Oreochromis niloticus: one gene and its partner. Each later gene encodes a partner of the first gene's protein in a complex. Links are inferred from orthologs where the notes say so. Each region holds a gene or a part of one and is shown on either strand. Other genes may lie near its edges. The genes, in order: malt1 and bcl10.

What was found.
Region 2: the proteins of malt1 (region 1) and bcl10 are in contact, whole or in part, in a cryo-EM structure (PDB 6GK2), measured with the Homo sapiens proteins. The link is inferred for Oreochromis niloticus from reciprocal best matches to the Homo sapiens genes MALT1 and BCL10. Residues at the interface, in NP_006776.1 of Homo sapiens: Asp46, Gln47, Ala48, Pro49, Trp54, Arg55, Leu74, Glu75, Ser78, Leu79, Val81, Leu82, Glu83, Pro84, Glu85, Gly86, Pro88; in NP_003912.1 of Homo sapiens: Leu13, Lys17, Val83, Arg87, Asn93, Gln97, Thr100, Leu104, Arg107, Asn108, Leu111.

What each region holds. Positions count from the first base shown.
Region 1 is NC_031977.2:28,480,476-28,487,716, forward strand, and holds the start of malt1 (mucosa-associated lymphoid tissue lymphoma translocation protein 1), read left to right. Parts: upstream 1-4,200; 5' UTR 4,201-4,381; coding exon 4,382-4,530; intron 4,531-5,467; coding exon 5,468-5,634; intron 5,635-5,979; coding exon 5,980-6,101; intron 6,102-7,241. UniProt on the Homo sapiens protein: Protease that enhances BCL10-induced activation: acts via formation of CBM complexes that channel adaptive and innate immune signaling downstream of CARD domain-containing proteins (CARD9, CARD11 and CARD14) to activate NF-kappa-B and MAP kinase p38 pathways which stimulate expression of genes encoding pro-inflammatory cytokines and chemokines.
Region 2 is NC_031982.2:20,184,464-20,191,836, forward strand, and holds bcl10 (B-cell lymphoma/leukemia 10), read right to left. Parts: upstream 3,025-7,373; 5' UTR 2,577-3,024; coding exon 2,526-2,576; intron 2,124-2,525; coding exon 1,835-2,123; intron 1,708-1,834; coding exon 1,304-1,707; 3' UTR 498-1,303; downstream 1-497. UniProt on the Homo sapiens protein: Plays a key role in both adaptive and innate immune signaling by bridging CARD domain-containing proteins to immune activation.

The DNA of each region.
Region 1 (7,241 bases):
CACCATCATCAGTGTTGTTATTTTTTAGGGGCATTGGTCAAGGACAGACAGGAGATTGCCATGTCCACAAAGGTTTTCTGGAGTTCACGTAAGCAGCTCCATGCTAACAAACAAATGACGTGAAACCTGATCAGAGAGTGTGCACAAGTTTCACGTTGTTTCTTTCAGGCTCTCTCTCAGTCATTCAGTATTTTCACATTACTGGCCAAGCTCAAGAAGGCAGTCCCTGAATGTATGCTAGTCATTAGTTTAGAGATTTTTTTCTGTGATGTGGACATTTACTTTAATTAATTGGCCTAAAAAAATCCCAATCAAATCCCAATTCAAATATAAATCATTTAAAGTGAAAAATTAAACTCAATTTTTTCATGAAAATATAAGCTCCTTTAAGCCTCCTTCCATTAATAGCATCATAATAGCACTAACACATTTAAAAAATGTTCAGATGGGGGAAAATACTAGAAAAGTAATTGATTCTAGAAAGAAAACAGTGGGAGGAACATCTGCAACTAATTAGGTTAATTGGCAACAGGTGAGTAACATGCATGGGCATCAAAAAAAAGCACAGACAGAGCTTCCAAAGTAAAGATGGGCAGAGGGGACACCATTTTACAAAAAACTGTCCACAAATTGTGGAATAATTTCAGAATAATGTTCGTCAACGTAAAATTGGAAAGACTTTGAATATCCCATCATCTACAGTACATAATCATCAAGGGATTCTGAAATCCCTTTGCGCAAGAAATAAGACTGAATATCAATACTGGTTGTCTGCAAGTTTTGGTCATCACGGCATGGGTTCAGGATCACTTCCACAAATCACTGTCTGTGAACACACTTCACTGTACATCCACAAATACCAGTTAAAACTCTGTCATGTAAGAAAGGAGCTGTAGGTGAACATGATCCAGATGATCTCTGATGGCATGAGGGTGCATTAGTGCCTATGGAACTGGAAACATTTAGAAATGCACCATCAACGCTCAAAGCATCATATACTCCCATCCAGACTATGTATTTTTCAGGGAAGGGCGTGGGTATTTCAGCCTGTCGAACTGCATCTATGTCTGGGTGTTGAACTGACCTGCTAGCAGTCCAAGCCTTTCACCAATGAAAACATTCAGTGCATCATGAAAGAGCAGCTAGACTCTTGTAACAGACGAGAATGGGACAACATTCTTCTCCCACAGTCCAGCAGCTGGTCTCAGACATTTATGGGCTGCTGTAAAAAGACGAGGTGATGCTACGCAGTGGTAAACATGGCTCTGCACCAATTTTTTGGGAGAAATGTTGCTGCCATCAAATTCAAAATGAGTTAGCATATTGCTTTAAATAGTGCATTTTCTCAGCTTAAACATTTTATATGTTTTCTGTTCTACTGCAAATAAAATAAATAAATCATTGTAATCTGTTTTTAATTACACTGAATACAGCGTCCCAACTCTTTTGGAAGTGGGGTTGTAGTATTTGTCATGTGATACAGTTTTAGGCATTTGATTTTAGATGAGTCATTAAGAATCACAGTTAATAGCTGGCCAAAAAAAGCCTAATTATATCCACAATGATTCAGTGTTCAGCATTTTCTCTACTGTTACATTTGGACTCTCTCAGTCAACTCTTTGGCTGTGTTTATTTGAAACTGGTAAGTGTGGCTGGAAATTACTCAGACTGATTTTAAGATAGGAGAAATCTTCTCACATGATTGCTCAATAGGAATAAAATGCTTTATTAAAAAGGGCTGATTGTTTAAAACAAATGTGGTAAAATTACAGGTTTCAAGTGTGACTACTTGTAATTTGCCCGAAGGCTGGGCGAAGCATTACATGTTTGCAGGATAACTTCCACAGCAACAAAAATTTGCGTTCAGCAGAGAAGCTCTCCAGTAGTTTTCCACACGCCTGTCTATCCAGGCAGTGCTTAGCCCATCTGGCCCGGTGGTTCAGTTAACAGTGACACACATTTAGTTTCTGTTTAATTCATGTTCACATTTTATATGAAACACGTTACTTACTTATATAGCCATAAACAATAAAAAGAACCTGTTTGTTTGGGGACGTTAAATAAAGGTGAGTTTATGTTGTTATTACCATCATGGTTCCAGATGGCATTTGCAAATCCAGACCTAACGAGACAAGGGGAAGCTAAACCAGACACACTGCACACAGGACAGGGACTATCAAAATAAAACAGGAAACACACGACAGGCACAGAGGCATGGACTTGAGACACGACTGACTGGGGAATGAGAAAATAAACGTGAAGTCAGAACTAAACCTACACTAAATGTGAGGGGCACAGGAACAAAACCCAAGAACTAGAAATCAGAAAACGAAGAAGAACTAGAGAGCTAGAAATACAGAACCATAGACCAAAAGACTAGTAATGATAAACCGTGATGAAATCAAAGAATTATAATAATACAAAACACTGGGTCACCGAACCAGGACTGTGACAAGTTTAAAGATATCAAAAAATAACTAAAAATATCAAAAGTATGTGAGGAAATAAGTCCAGGTTTGGGACTGGCGGTAGGAGTACACTAACAGCACCATGCAGTCTCATTGCAGTTTGTGAAATATAGTCACAACTATCATTTTATTAGTTTGTGTTTCTGTACATTAACTTTTTTCTTTTGTGTGTTCCTCAACATGAATTTCCCAGTATTATATTTGAACACTACTTTTCATTCATCCATTCTCCTATATACCGAATCTATTGTATATCTCAAATTTTTTCATGCATCATCACTTTAAAAAATATTATTAATGAAAAACATCCTTTCATGCTTAAGTTTAGACAGCTTGGTTTAGTTAGGTTTCGTGTTTTATTATGGGACTGGGCTGACTGAACAGCAGCACACGCCTGAAAAGATACGCTTCTAGTGGTAAAACAGTGCCACCTTGTGGTGAATTGTTTTCTTACATTTTGCAGGGGGCAATTACAAAAAGTGCCTTTAAACAAAGCCATTATATATGGTCTGCTCTGAAAAACTTAGGGAAAGAGCAGCAAGGACAAAAAAAGCATGTAAAAGCAGAAAAAAAGAGTGACCCTGATTACAAACAGGGAAAATTATCCTACTTAGTCATGGCATTACTTAAGACAACCTTTTCACCTAGAAAGTGGAGTTGCCAGCATTACAAAACAGGATTTACAGAGAGCCAGTCTCCATATGAATATGTGGAAGAAAAACTCTGAGATTCTGTAAGGAGACAAGGGGTGTCAAGCCACTCCTTTGGTCAACCCACAAACCCAGTGCTGACTGCGGGTTAGAGTTAGTCAGTTTAGTTTATAAGGTGGGGGAACCCTGCAGTCAGCTGAGACTTAAATGGTTACTTGGATGAGTGAATGTTTCCCCCACTGAAAACATTACGTCTAGATTAACAGAATCAATTTTTTTGTGACATGTAGATGAAATAAAAGTTTTGTGTACATTATATTGCAAACAGTTTTGACTTGACAATGTCAGTGCTGGGTAAAAACTGTTTGAGTCCTCAAGGTATCTTTCCAGGAAGTTATACCTACATAAATGAAAACAGGATTGATCCTTAAAAAAACCTGTTCATTTTCTGGGCCAACCAATAACCTATAGAAAACTTTCTAGCTCCGCCACTATGAGGAGGTCACCGGCTCCCACCTGAGCGGCTGAGTACAGCCAAAGAGTGCAAATTGAGCGAGATGAGTCGCCTCGCCTCAACTTTCTGTGCCACTTGGTTTGTGATTCTATGCCTGGGCACTCGTTTAAGGATGGATGTTGCATGTGAAAAGAAAAGAATATATAGATTAACCTTAATAAATACGGGTTATTTGGTATATACTAGCTAGTTTTAGCAGCGTTTACATTAAAGAAACCTCTGACGTATTAAAATCCACTGAACAAATACCAAATAATGGTGTTGATTGCGGGCTCAGTTAATCGTTCATTCATTGTCAAATGGCGAGTAGACAGCAGCTACACTCTCTTTGGCAGTTGCACAGAGCTAGCTAGTAGGGTATCCTCTTTCGATTAACGCCAAACAAAATTACGAATAGAAAATGAGATATCACACAGGTAGATTTTTGAGTAAGTTACTTGGTTTATCTTAATTGCGTGGAATTAATAAAAGGAGGTAAACTCCGAAAACAGGCCAGAGTTGGGGTTGTTTCTTTTCGCCTCTCGCCTCACAAGCCTACATGCAGAGATTCATCTTTACGCATAAGTGGTCTTTGGCAGAAGGAAACCACAACTGAGCTGCACCACGGGGAAAAACCAAGACGACGCTGTAGGCGTGTCAGTCATTTTTATCATTTCTTTCAGGAAGTAGACATTTTTTTTTCGTGCCATAACTTTGCTTTTGCGTGCGATAGAAACACGTTGATGGTGAGCTTTGGTTGAGGAACTGTCATGTCGGACTCTTTGGAACGGTCCACGAAGGTCAACTCGTTGAAGGAGCCGGTTGTGAAGAGGCTGTGTGAGGTGCTGGACAAATCCAGCACTAAAGGATGGCGAAAACTTGGAGAGATTGTTGGCAATGATAGACGGTTTAAAGTCAGGTGGGTTAAAAATTGCTATTAGTACTAGTATTTAGTAAATGACCAGAAATCATTGCATGCATACTCTCAACCACCGGTTTATTTATTAAAGCTAATGGGGACTAACGCGATTAACTTTCATTATAGTTACACTGTTCAGTTTATTGGTTATTGTGAATTTTATGTTGTGTCTTTATATTAAAAAATAAAGGTATAGAGTATGTAATACAGTAATGCACAATTAACCTGTATATTTTCTGGCATAGATAAATATGTAACTCCAAGTTAATAAATCAAGAGACCCCCTTTGAGAGATTAAATTGGACAACTATTTGTTTTTCATTACAGCATCTTCCAGGTTAATGCTAGTTAATGAAACTATCAATCAAAAATGTAGGGTCCAATCATTATTTATATGCAGTTTCATTAACAAATAATGGTGATGACAAATGTTTGCCTCTGATTTTTTTTTAATCCTAGCTGTTACTGTACGGCTGTAACATATGATATCACACCTGCCTAATATCACTATTACACCGTGTGTTTGAGTACATATATTCCCGGTACAGTGCAGTCTGCTCATAAGATCAAATATGCATTATTTATACCAAAACAGCAGCCAAAACTTAAAAAACAATGTAGCTCAATCAAATAAGTACAAACTTAATAAGTTTAGACAAGTGTAAAATTGCACAAAAGAAAGAGTTCAGGTAAATAGAGTATGACACTAATAAAGTCACTAGATAAAGTGTTTCACTGATTGTGCACTAAGCGGTGCAGATGGTGTAAAGATTAGCATTCATTTGTTTTTCTTTTAAACTTGTGTAAATTTATTCCCTTATCTTTGTCTAACAGTTTCTCATGACCTGAGTTTTCGTGTGTGAAAACGGTAAAGATGAGTTTTACTGTAATATGATTTAAAATATGAAATGCTGACAGTCACCTACATCCTTTCCAGCTCGGATGACATGGAGATGTGCTCTCTGAAGGTGCTGGAGCTGGAGGGAAGCCCGAGTCTCATGCTGCTGAGGCTGATGGGAGAGCGAGGCTGCACCACGGGCCATCTGATGGACTACCTTCAAACTTTAGGCAACTCAGAGGCTCTGCAGTGCCTGAAACCGCCAGGTAGAGTAAAACCACATTGATGCCGCTATGTTGTCAATCATGCAGGTTGATCTTCACTTTCTGCATTCTATTTATTTCTCATCTGAAGCTCACAGCTCATTGTGCTGTTTGGATGAAACTTATAGGTCATTGTCAGTGCAGTTTTAAGTCAGTGCAGCAGTAATCAGGGTTCATATAATGTAGGTTTCAAGAGGGAATGTTTTATTATGCTATTACCACTCATCTGTACCATTGCTAGCTTGGCAATTAAAGTTAAACCTTAAAGAGAAGCACCACAAAGTTCTGCTGTATACAGTCCATCTAAACTCAGTGTAAATTCACAGTAAATATCCTGTACATGTGCAGCCCTCCAGATCCTCATTCAGCCCCAGTCCGTATCCATTATATGTGGCCACAATCTGCGGCTCAGCTGCCACGCTGTGGGCAAGTCTCCAGTACAGTACCAGTGGTTCAAATCTAAGGAAGAGGTGAGTTCCTCTGACACACTCACACACACTGATTTTTTTTTGTCTTGATGCATTCTCAATCATCCAGGAAAGTAAATCTCCAAAAGTTGAATCTGTTCATCTGGACGTAGCGTTTTGTGGGAGAAACGTTTCGTCACTCATCCAAGTGACTTCTTCAGTCTCAGCTGACTGCAGGTTTCCCCAAACCTTATAAACAGTACATTTGCATAATGACTGAAACCAGCCCACTGAAGGAACAATGGGCTGATTTTTTTCTGACTTTAAATTAAAGTTCTTGCGTTAAAACCTCTTTAGCGTTTTTTACACATTCACTGCAGCCATAACTTTACTAACTTTACTAAAAATTACACAACTGAAATGCATGTGAGATCAAAAATGTCCAACAAAGCAAAGCAAAGCAAAAAGCAAACAAACAAACAAAAAAATGTCCAACATGGTCTGATCAGACATTAAATGGTATTTAAACCGACAACTTCCTAGTACAAAGTCCACCTGCATGATCCGGTAAATTCATCACTACTGAGTCCTGCTGTTGCATTCTCTTCTCAGTCAGGACTTTCCCATAAAACAAACAGAGTATTTCCAATAGTGAGAACACATGATTACCATATCATCGGTGCAGTAAATGGCACTGTTGGTTCATCGTAGTTAATGGGTGATCCTAAATAAGTGGTTAAGAAACTTAACTGAATCTCTTCCTATAGCACAGTGATGTTTTTTAGTGAGCTGAGCAATTCATAAAAGTGCACAGTTGCAAATGTCTGCATGTGTCCGCGTCAGCATGCGTTCAGTCTTGTGACGCCATGCTGAAAGGATACATAAGTGTTACTCGTTCTGACTTGCTAGATGTAACTTTTTTCGGAAGTGTGACGTGGGTGCTCGATCATAGAAAAAGACTGCGCATTCAGATGCTGTCGTATTATTACTAGTTCATATCTGAGTTTCTACCCATAGCTTTGATCTTTTCTAATGAGTTTTTGTTTTAGTTTATTTTCACTCAGTTTACAGAGTGGTTTTTTTCTCATTTCAGTTTAGTTTTGCGTTGTGTAGTTAATGTTTAAATTTAATTAGAGTTAGTGTTGTTTTTTGTGTTTTTAATTATTATAAGGAGGCTGTTTGTCAGCCTCTTCTGCCTGATTT
Region 2 (7,373 bases), on another chromosome or scaffold:
AAATAAAAGATAGCTGCTTATATTGGATGTTATTATATAATTATATATATTTTTAAATCAGATGCTAACTACATGTGTTAAACTTCATTCTACATATAATTATGATAATAAATTAAATACCTGTTAGCGTTCGCCGAGCACCAGCGACCCAAAGTTCACCCAGTCTAACACTCAGGGCTTCTCAGCGGTGTATGAAAAAACAGGTGGTACAGTCACCACTGCAGCCGTCACCACAATGACTGTCATTCCTCGGCGCCACTTGTAGCTTTTCCAGTTTTTTCCAGAAGTAGAAAAAAAGGTACGTCTGCGCACCCAGAAGCTAACGACACATTTACACGTTGTAGGCCTGTCAATCACTTCATTTTGACCTCGACAGTTAATGCCCTATTTCAACAACAATTATCGGCACTCTAACACTTTGATTTTTCATAATCGCTACAGGAACCACACAACCACACGGTGAAAAAAGGAAAAAAGAAACAAAAGCCCAGTCCATATATGAAAAACTTTTAGTTTTATTATTACATGACCAGTGAATAGAGAAAGAAATAGGATGTCACTGAAACTATGTTTACTAATTCAAGACTATTGTAGTGACAAAAACATGAAGCAAATTCTTGATGACTTAATGCACACACACAAAAAACAAACAACAGAAAAACATGAGCTGGAGTTCTGCTCCAAGACTGGCTCTTTATACGCACACACATGGATATATATATATATATATGTATGTATATATTCTCAAGTAGTCGTTCAAGTGTATACAACATAGAAACTGCATTCAGCCTTTACAGCTCATCAGAAAAATCACACCTCCTGTCACAGAAGGGGAGTAGGAGAGGTTAGAGAGGGTGAGTCACATTTTCTTCACTCCTGACACATCACGTTGGAAATCTAACCGCGTTAGAAATGCATCTGATGCACGCGCAGATTTCCTCTTTCTTCTTTGATGGCACCTTTGTCTCATTTTAGTCATATTTTCCATTTTAAACTAGGCAATCTCCATACCCTAGGGTTTGGTTTGGTTTTTGCTTTATATGAAAACTAAGGCAACAAATTGCCACCATTTGAAAAACAAAAAAAACAATCTTTAAAAGTTATCCCAGCCTCACTGATGACAAAATGCCCCCATTTTCACTCTAAAAGGTAGCTAATATAGTGGTAGTATACAGTATATGCCCATGTGCAGCAATTTCTCACCAACCGCCTCATTGAAGGCACGAATAACACCGAAAAAGAGAGAGAGAGTGTTGTGGTTGTCTTTTTAACCGGTTGAGAACTGTCTTATTGAGATATGCTCCTAAAAGATACTCCTAGTTGAAGTTGGTGTGAGGGAGCGCGACCGGAGGGGCTGGAAGTTTGGATCGCCTCCGCTGGTGCACCCTGGCGCTCCAGCATCTATGCTGGAGGGGGACTCGACCATTACCTCGTCCGGCAGAGGAGGCGCCCCGGGGTCTCCGGGCTTCGGGAGGCTGGATGAAGTCGTGGAAGGTGTGGCGATGCTGGCGCAAGCCACAGAGGAGTCTCCAGCTTTTTGCGAAGACAGCAGATCGAGTGAGGTGCCCACATCTGAGTTGGAAGGGCTTTTCTCGCTGTCCGGGTGAAAGAGCAAGGTGGAGTTGTTTGAAAATGTTAACGGGAGGTCGCTGGTTGAGGTTGGAGTGCTGAAAGTGGAGTCAGATGAGGAACTGGAAGCTCCTGCCGCTGAGTAATAGAAGAGGGGGGAAAAAAGGGGAACAGTTGTAAGTCATAAAGAACAACCGCATTAAGCACTTTTTTGCATTACACACACACACACACACACAACTATTTTAGAAATTGACGTATTAACCTCTGAGGGACTCGATCTTCTCATTTTTGGCCTTCTGCACCTCGTCTGTGATTTTAGTGATGATAAAATTTTGCGAGCGCATCTCCCGGATCGACTCGATCAAGGCATCCAGGCCGCGGGGGTTCTCAGCCAGTATGTCCAGCAGCACGGCCGTTCTCTTGGTCTGCGTAGTCCTGCAGCTGATCTCTTCTGCGTCGTCTCGCGTCAGGATCCTGCGAGAGCGCAGGTAGTCCAGGTGGCGATCTGCTCTGATTTTATCGCAGAGGTAGTGCCGCAATCTGGTCAGCACCTGAAGAGCCACAGGAAGTCATTGAGGGTGGACAAAAAGAGGGCAAAGTGAGGTGTCAATGAACAGGAAACACACAGTCCAGGGTTCATCCCCCTTCCCCCATATCAAAGACTACAGCAGGCCTGGATCTGCTCTCTCTGTGGCACATACAAAGTAAGCTGGGTGTCCAGATGTGCCCTAAACGTCCATCCTATTGTCCTGCTGTTAAATCCTACAGAAAGTGGAAATGGTGAGGGCACAAAGAGGGTGTGGTGGGGGCATTTCCTCCTTTTAATAGGCCTATAGCGCTAAGCAAAGCATAAATATATATTTAGCAGTAAATCTATTTGCACATGGCTCCCCTTATCAGATTGATCTGCCATCTATTAGGAAGCCAGGGCGTGCCTGAAGTATAATACTCACGTCTTTCTTTATCTCTGCCATTTCATCTTCAGTGAGGTGAGGAGCATCCATCCCTCTCCCCCGCAAAGTGAAAATCCAGGTGGTAACGATTGAAAATTATCTTAATAATCTCGTAGTGGTGGATTAAAACACAACAGCGAATAAATTATAGAAGTTAAATAAGCTGACACCTTATTATTAATCGATAAAAGGTGGTCTATCGACTATCCATTCAACTTTTTTTTGTTTCAACAACGGAAAAAAAAAAAATCCCCGGACTTCCTGATTGTGTCGAGGCTTAACTACGTCAACACACGGCAGAGACGTCAGTTTCCCACTCAGAGCTGGTTTAAACCGGTAACTGTGAATAAAAAAGTCCACGTTCACTTTAAGGTTTCTCCTGTTTTACCAGAACAACTCCAAACTGAGCAACTTTCTTCGCTTTGAGTTCTGCTGTGCGACTTCTTGCGCTTCTGCACTTCCGACCATGGCCACGCGCGGCTCTCGATAACTCCACTAGGTGGCGCTGTTGGACCTTCTCGCATACAAACACCACGTTTGGCAGGTTTTGCTATGCCCCGCAGTTTAGTCTATGACAGCATTCATTCAAAGAAAAGTAAGTGTTATAGGCCAGTGATGTCAAACATGTGGTCCAGGGCACAGAAGTGGCCCTCTTAAAAGCTCCCATACCGGACAGCTCTGTAAAGTGTCAAAACTGCAGTGAAGTTAGTGGGGATGAAAACATCTATAGTTTAAAGTATTATTAGATCTAAACTAGTTGTTTGAATCAGAAAGATTTAAAATAAATCACTATGGCCAGGTGTCCTCCCACTGTGATCTGTAAACTTTAATATAAAGATAATATTGATGAATGGGGAAAAACTGAGACATAGTTTTAAAATTGCAGTTATTTTTCTTTAGTGATCTCAGGGTTGCTTATTAAATGAGAAAAGAAAAATAATGGGAAATGTTACCACTTGTAATGGGTTTCAAAGAAGCAGGAGGGATAAGAGCTTTTTACTTTACTAGTTTACTCCATTTGTGGGCAATTAACTGAGCTGAGTTTGGCACCCCTGCTGTACTGTGTGGCTACTGCACAAGAGATTTCTGTAATTTACAAAGTAACTTAAGTACAGAGCGATTCTCAGCTAATTTCAATTTAGAATTATAACTTTTTCTTTTTTGTTGCTGATTTATTGCAATGACGCAAGTCTGAGGTGAAATGTAAGCTTTTTTAATGTGATGCAGGGCTTTTCAGTTGCTTCACAAAAACGCCTGTGCTTTACGATCTGTTTGCATGTTTTGTATGTGGAGTCACAATCTGCAAAGTAGCTGTCACCATCAGATAAATTTTCCTTGTGAAAAACAGCGTAGAAGTTAAATAGTGTTAGAAAATTCAGGCGCCTTAAACTTGAGTAAATTAAACATTTGAGGTTTGCCTGCCAGTTTCTTATGTGCACCTAAGACTAATTCGGTCTGAACAAGCTCAACAGCACCACAAACTAAACTATCTGAAACAGCGTCTGCAAAAATAATGATAATAATAAGGTTATTACTACTACACAAACAACTAAGGGTTTAATAAGTTAGTTGGCTGTGATGGAGCTGATTTTATGTAAACTGTTGATTTGCTGGTCTTGTTTGGAAAATCTGCACAGAAACTCGGAAAATCAGAGTTGTACATCAAGTAAATATATTTCTGTTACTGTCAGTCATGCAGCTGGACACATTTTAAAGTGTAGTACTGAGCTTTGAAATGCGATGATCACAATGTAAATTGTCAGCAGGCAGAGTCTGTATCATAGATTAGGTCACAGAACAGTTTATATACAAATAAAACTGAAGGGTCATAGCATTAAAATCATCAGCAGTTCAGAGACAACACGGGGTCAAAGTTCACATATACAAAGTGAAGTGCTGCGCAGTAGAAGTGATCAGACACTTTGGTAAACATGAAGTCTATTACACAATGGCTGAATGCATACAGATTTTCACTTCCCCCTAATCACAGTATAGCACAAAGAGAGGAGGGGCGCTCCCCGAGGAGATTGTTATCAGGCTTGTTTTGTCATGCTCTGCAGTGTAGTACTGTATGTGCTGTGTGAAAAGACCATTAGCAAGCAGAAATGTATATGAACTGTAAATCAGATCGCAGGACTCACGCAGCGATAATGATTTAAAGCCCCCTCACAGCTGTCTGGCTGCTGTTTCATCGCAGCAGGAAAATGTCAGATGTTAAACAAAAATGGGGAATGAGCGTTAACAGAAACAGACAATGCGTGCCCACTTCTCCTCACCACAATTCCCTTCATTCATGCTGGACAGCAGAGCTCAGCAGCCTGGAAATAACCAGCTGTGCGTTTCAAATGAACCCAGTGTGCTGACTCCCGAGTGCCCTTCGCGCAGAGCCAGACACAAAAGAAAAGAAGGCATTTATAGAAATGATGTCACCAACGGGACTATCATTCATATCAGCACAAAACCCACTCTCACGTAACAGCCAAGACACCACCGTGACCTCGCATCCACTGTGATTTTACAATATGCGTAAGTGAGGAGGTATTTGCGCTTTTCAGTCGAAGTACCATGCAAAATGACTTCTTTTATAGCTTTTTTTTCATACAGCCTATTATAACCTGCCCACCCACCTTACCCATTCGGGTGTATCCCATTAAGTATCAGGGATATGTAATTTTAACAGGGCGCTGCAGAGTACTGTGCAATGCACGTCCACCCATGGCTTGTATCAAGTATCTGTGGGAGGATAAAAGGTCTCTCTAACACAATAACTTTCAAGTAATTACATGTCGCTCTCATTAAGTAAATTGCAAGATATGAGAAAATGCACGCTTTATATACGCCTCTTTGCAAGAGGCGTATATAAAGCCCTCTTTAGTTTCACATCTGTCTGCTCTTGTCACCAGGTTAGAGACCCACTGGGTTCATATTCATTAAGCATCTCAGATATATATTTAGGGCTGTTAATGACATATAAACAATAACCAATAGTTTGAAATCTGTACCTTACTGGAAGTCAGTGCAGGGAGCTGAGAATCAGAGCACTCTGAATTATCTGTGACCGTCTAACAGTCTTTTTAGGGAGGACAATAAAAGGAGCATCGCATTAGGCAGCCCTGCAAGACATAAAGACATGAATAAGCTTCTCTGGATCTTGTAAAATGTAGTAAAAAGCCCAGGATGTTCCTTGAATTTGATCTTTCATTGAACTTTCTAACACGATTTTCTTCACATTTTCTTATTTATAATTTGTCTACTTTTAGTCTACTGATTTTATAAGGTCAGTGTTTTATTTTATCGATTGTTGTTTTTGCACATGATGTGAAAATGTGAGGTAGAGCAGAGGTTTCACTTACAGTGATCAGTTCAGCTTGTAATACGGCGTGGCACTTTTTATTATTTCTTTTTGAAAATATAAACTTTCAGTGGCTTCCAGAAACATTCATATCTAAAGTAGTATCATTCTGCTTTCTATATGCACTGAGTTGCTGCCATATTAGATTTTCAGCATCGCTGATATCTGCTCCAAAAAGTGATGACTACTCCTTTAAGCCAGGGATGTCAAACTCATTTTAACTCATCGAGGAGCAGATGCAGCCAGCTTTGATCTTAAATGGGCCAGTCTCAGTGTATAGAAGCTTAATTTCCAATTAGAAAAGACCAGTTACTTTGGTGTAGCGTGAATGACCACGGCTGCAAAAATGAAGCTTATGAAAACACAGTTAAAAGTCTAAGATTCAAGCCTTCCTTCATTTTTTCTAAAGCTGTCCAGTGGGCTGGACTGGAGTCTCCGTGAGGCCAATTTTGGCCCCTGGGCCTAGTGTTTGACACCCTGGCTTTAAACTGTTGGGGTAACAGTGTTTTAGGATGTTAAGAAAGAGGAAAGATTCAATTTCTCACTTGTTTTATTTCACATTCATTTTCTGAACTGTGGGAAGAGGACATGCAATTTGCCCTCCACATCCGCCTCCGTTCTTCTTACCTAACATGTTTGTACAGATTCTTGATATTATAATTTTGGAAGGAAATTTCCACACCAAGCCACAACAGTCAGCGATTTCCAGGCATCGGTAAACACACCAAGCTCCCGCTTGTTCGCTCTTCATCTGCTGGAGCTGGCGCTGACTCAGACCGGCCTTTGTAACCTTAGTTAGATAAGACAGAAGCGGTGCCAATCTGCTCTGCTCGGCCTCTTATTCTCACAGGTTATAATGAAAGGAAAGGTATTCTCTCCCTTATAAATGCCTTTGTTCTTTGATGTGGATGGAAGAAGATGCTTTTTATCCTGGCATCTATTTCAAAGAAGCCTGCAGTGCTCATCCTGAGAGGAATTTTGCTTCAGGCATTGCTTGGGTTTTCTTTTTATTCTTTTTTTTTTTGTCTAGTATCTCATTCTGACTGCTCTGATTTAGACTAAACAGAGGATTACCAAGTTTCAAACGTTTCCAGGAGGCTCTCGTCTCTCATTATGAAAACTTAAAGTCAAACTCAAATCCATCCACACGCCCTTACAGGATGACTGAAGGGAAATTTAATCTGTAACACTAGCAAGGCTGGAAAATACAAACACTATTCGCAGACAACGTGCAACAGTCTAAACAGAGCTTCAGCTCAGGGAGAAATTCAGTCAGTCATAGAAATATGTGGCTTTCCTTCAATATTTATGTCAGAACTTGCAGTGGCCTGGTGTTAAATCCCTTAAGGAGCCATGTTCACATGCATTTCAGCTGCCAGGTATACATATATATATGGTCCAGCACCAGCTGGTAAAGTCTTGGTTAGGAGCAAAAGAGCTCCTTCATAACAGTGATAGAGACTGAATAGTGCAATCATTGTCTCACAAAACAGAAT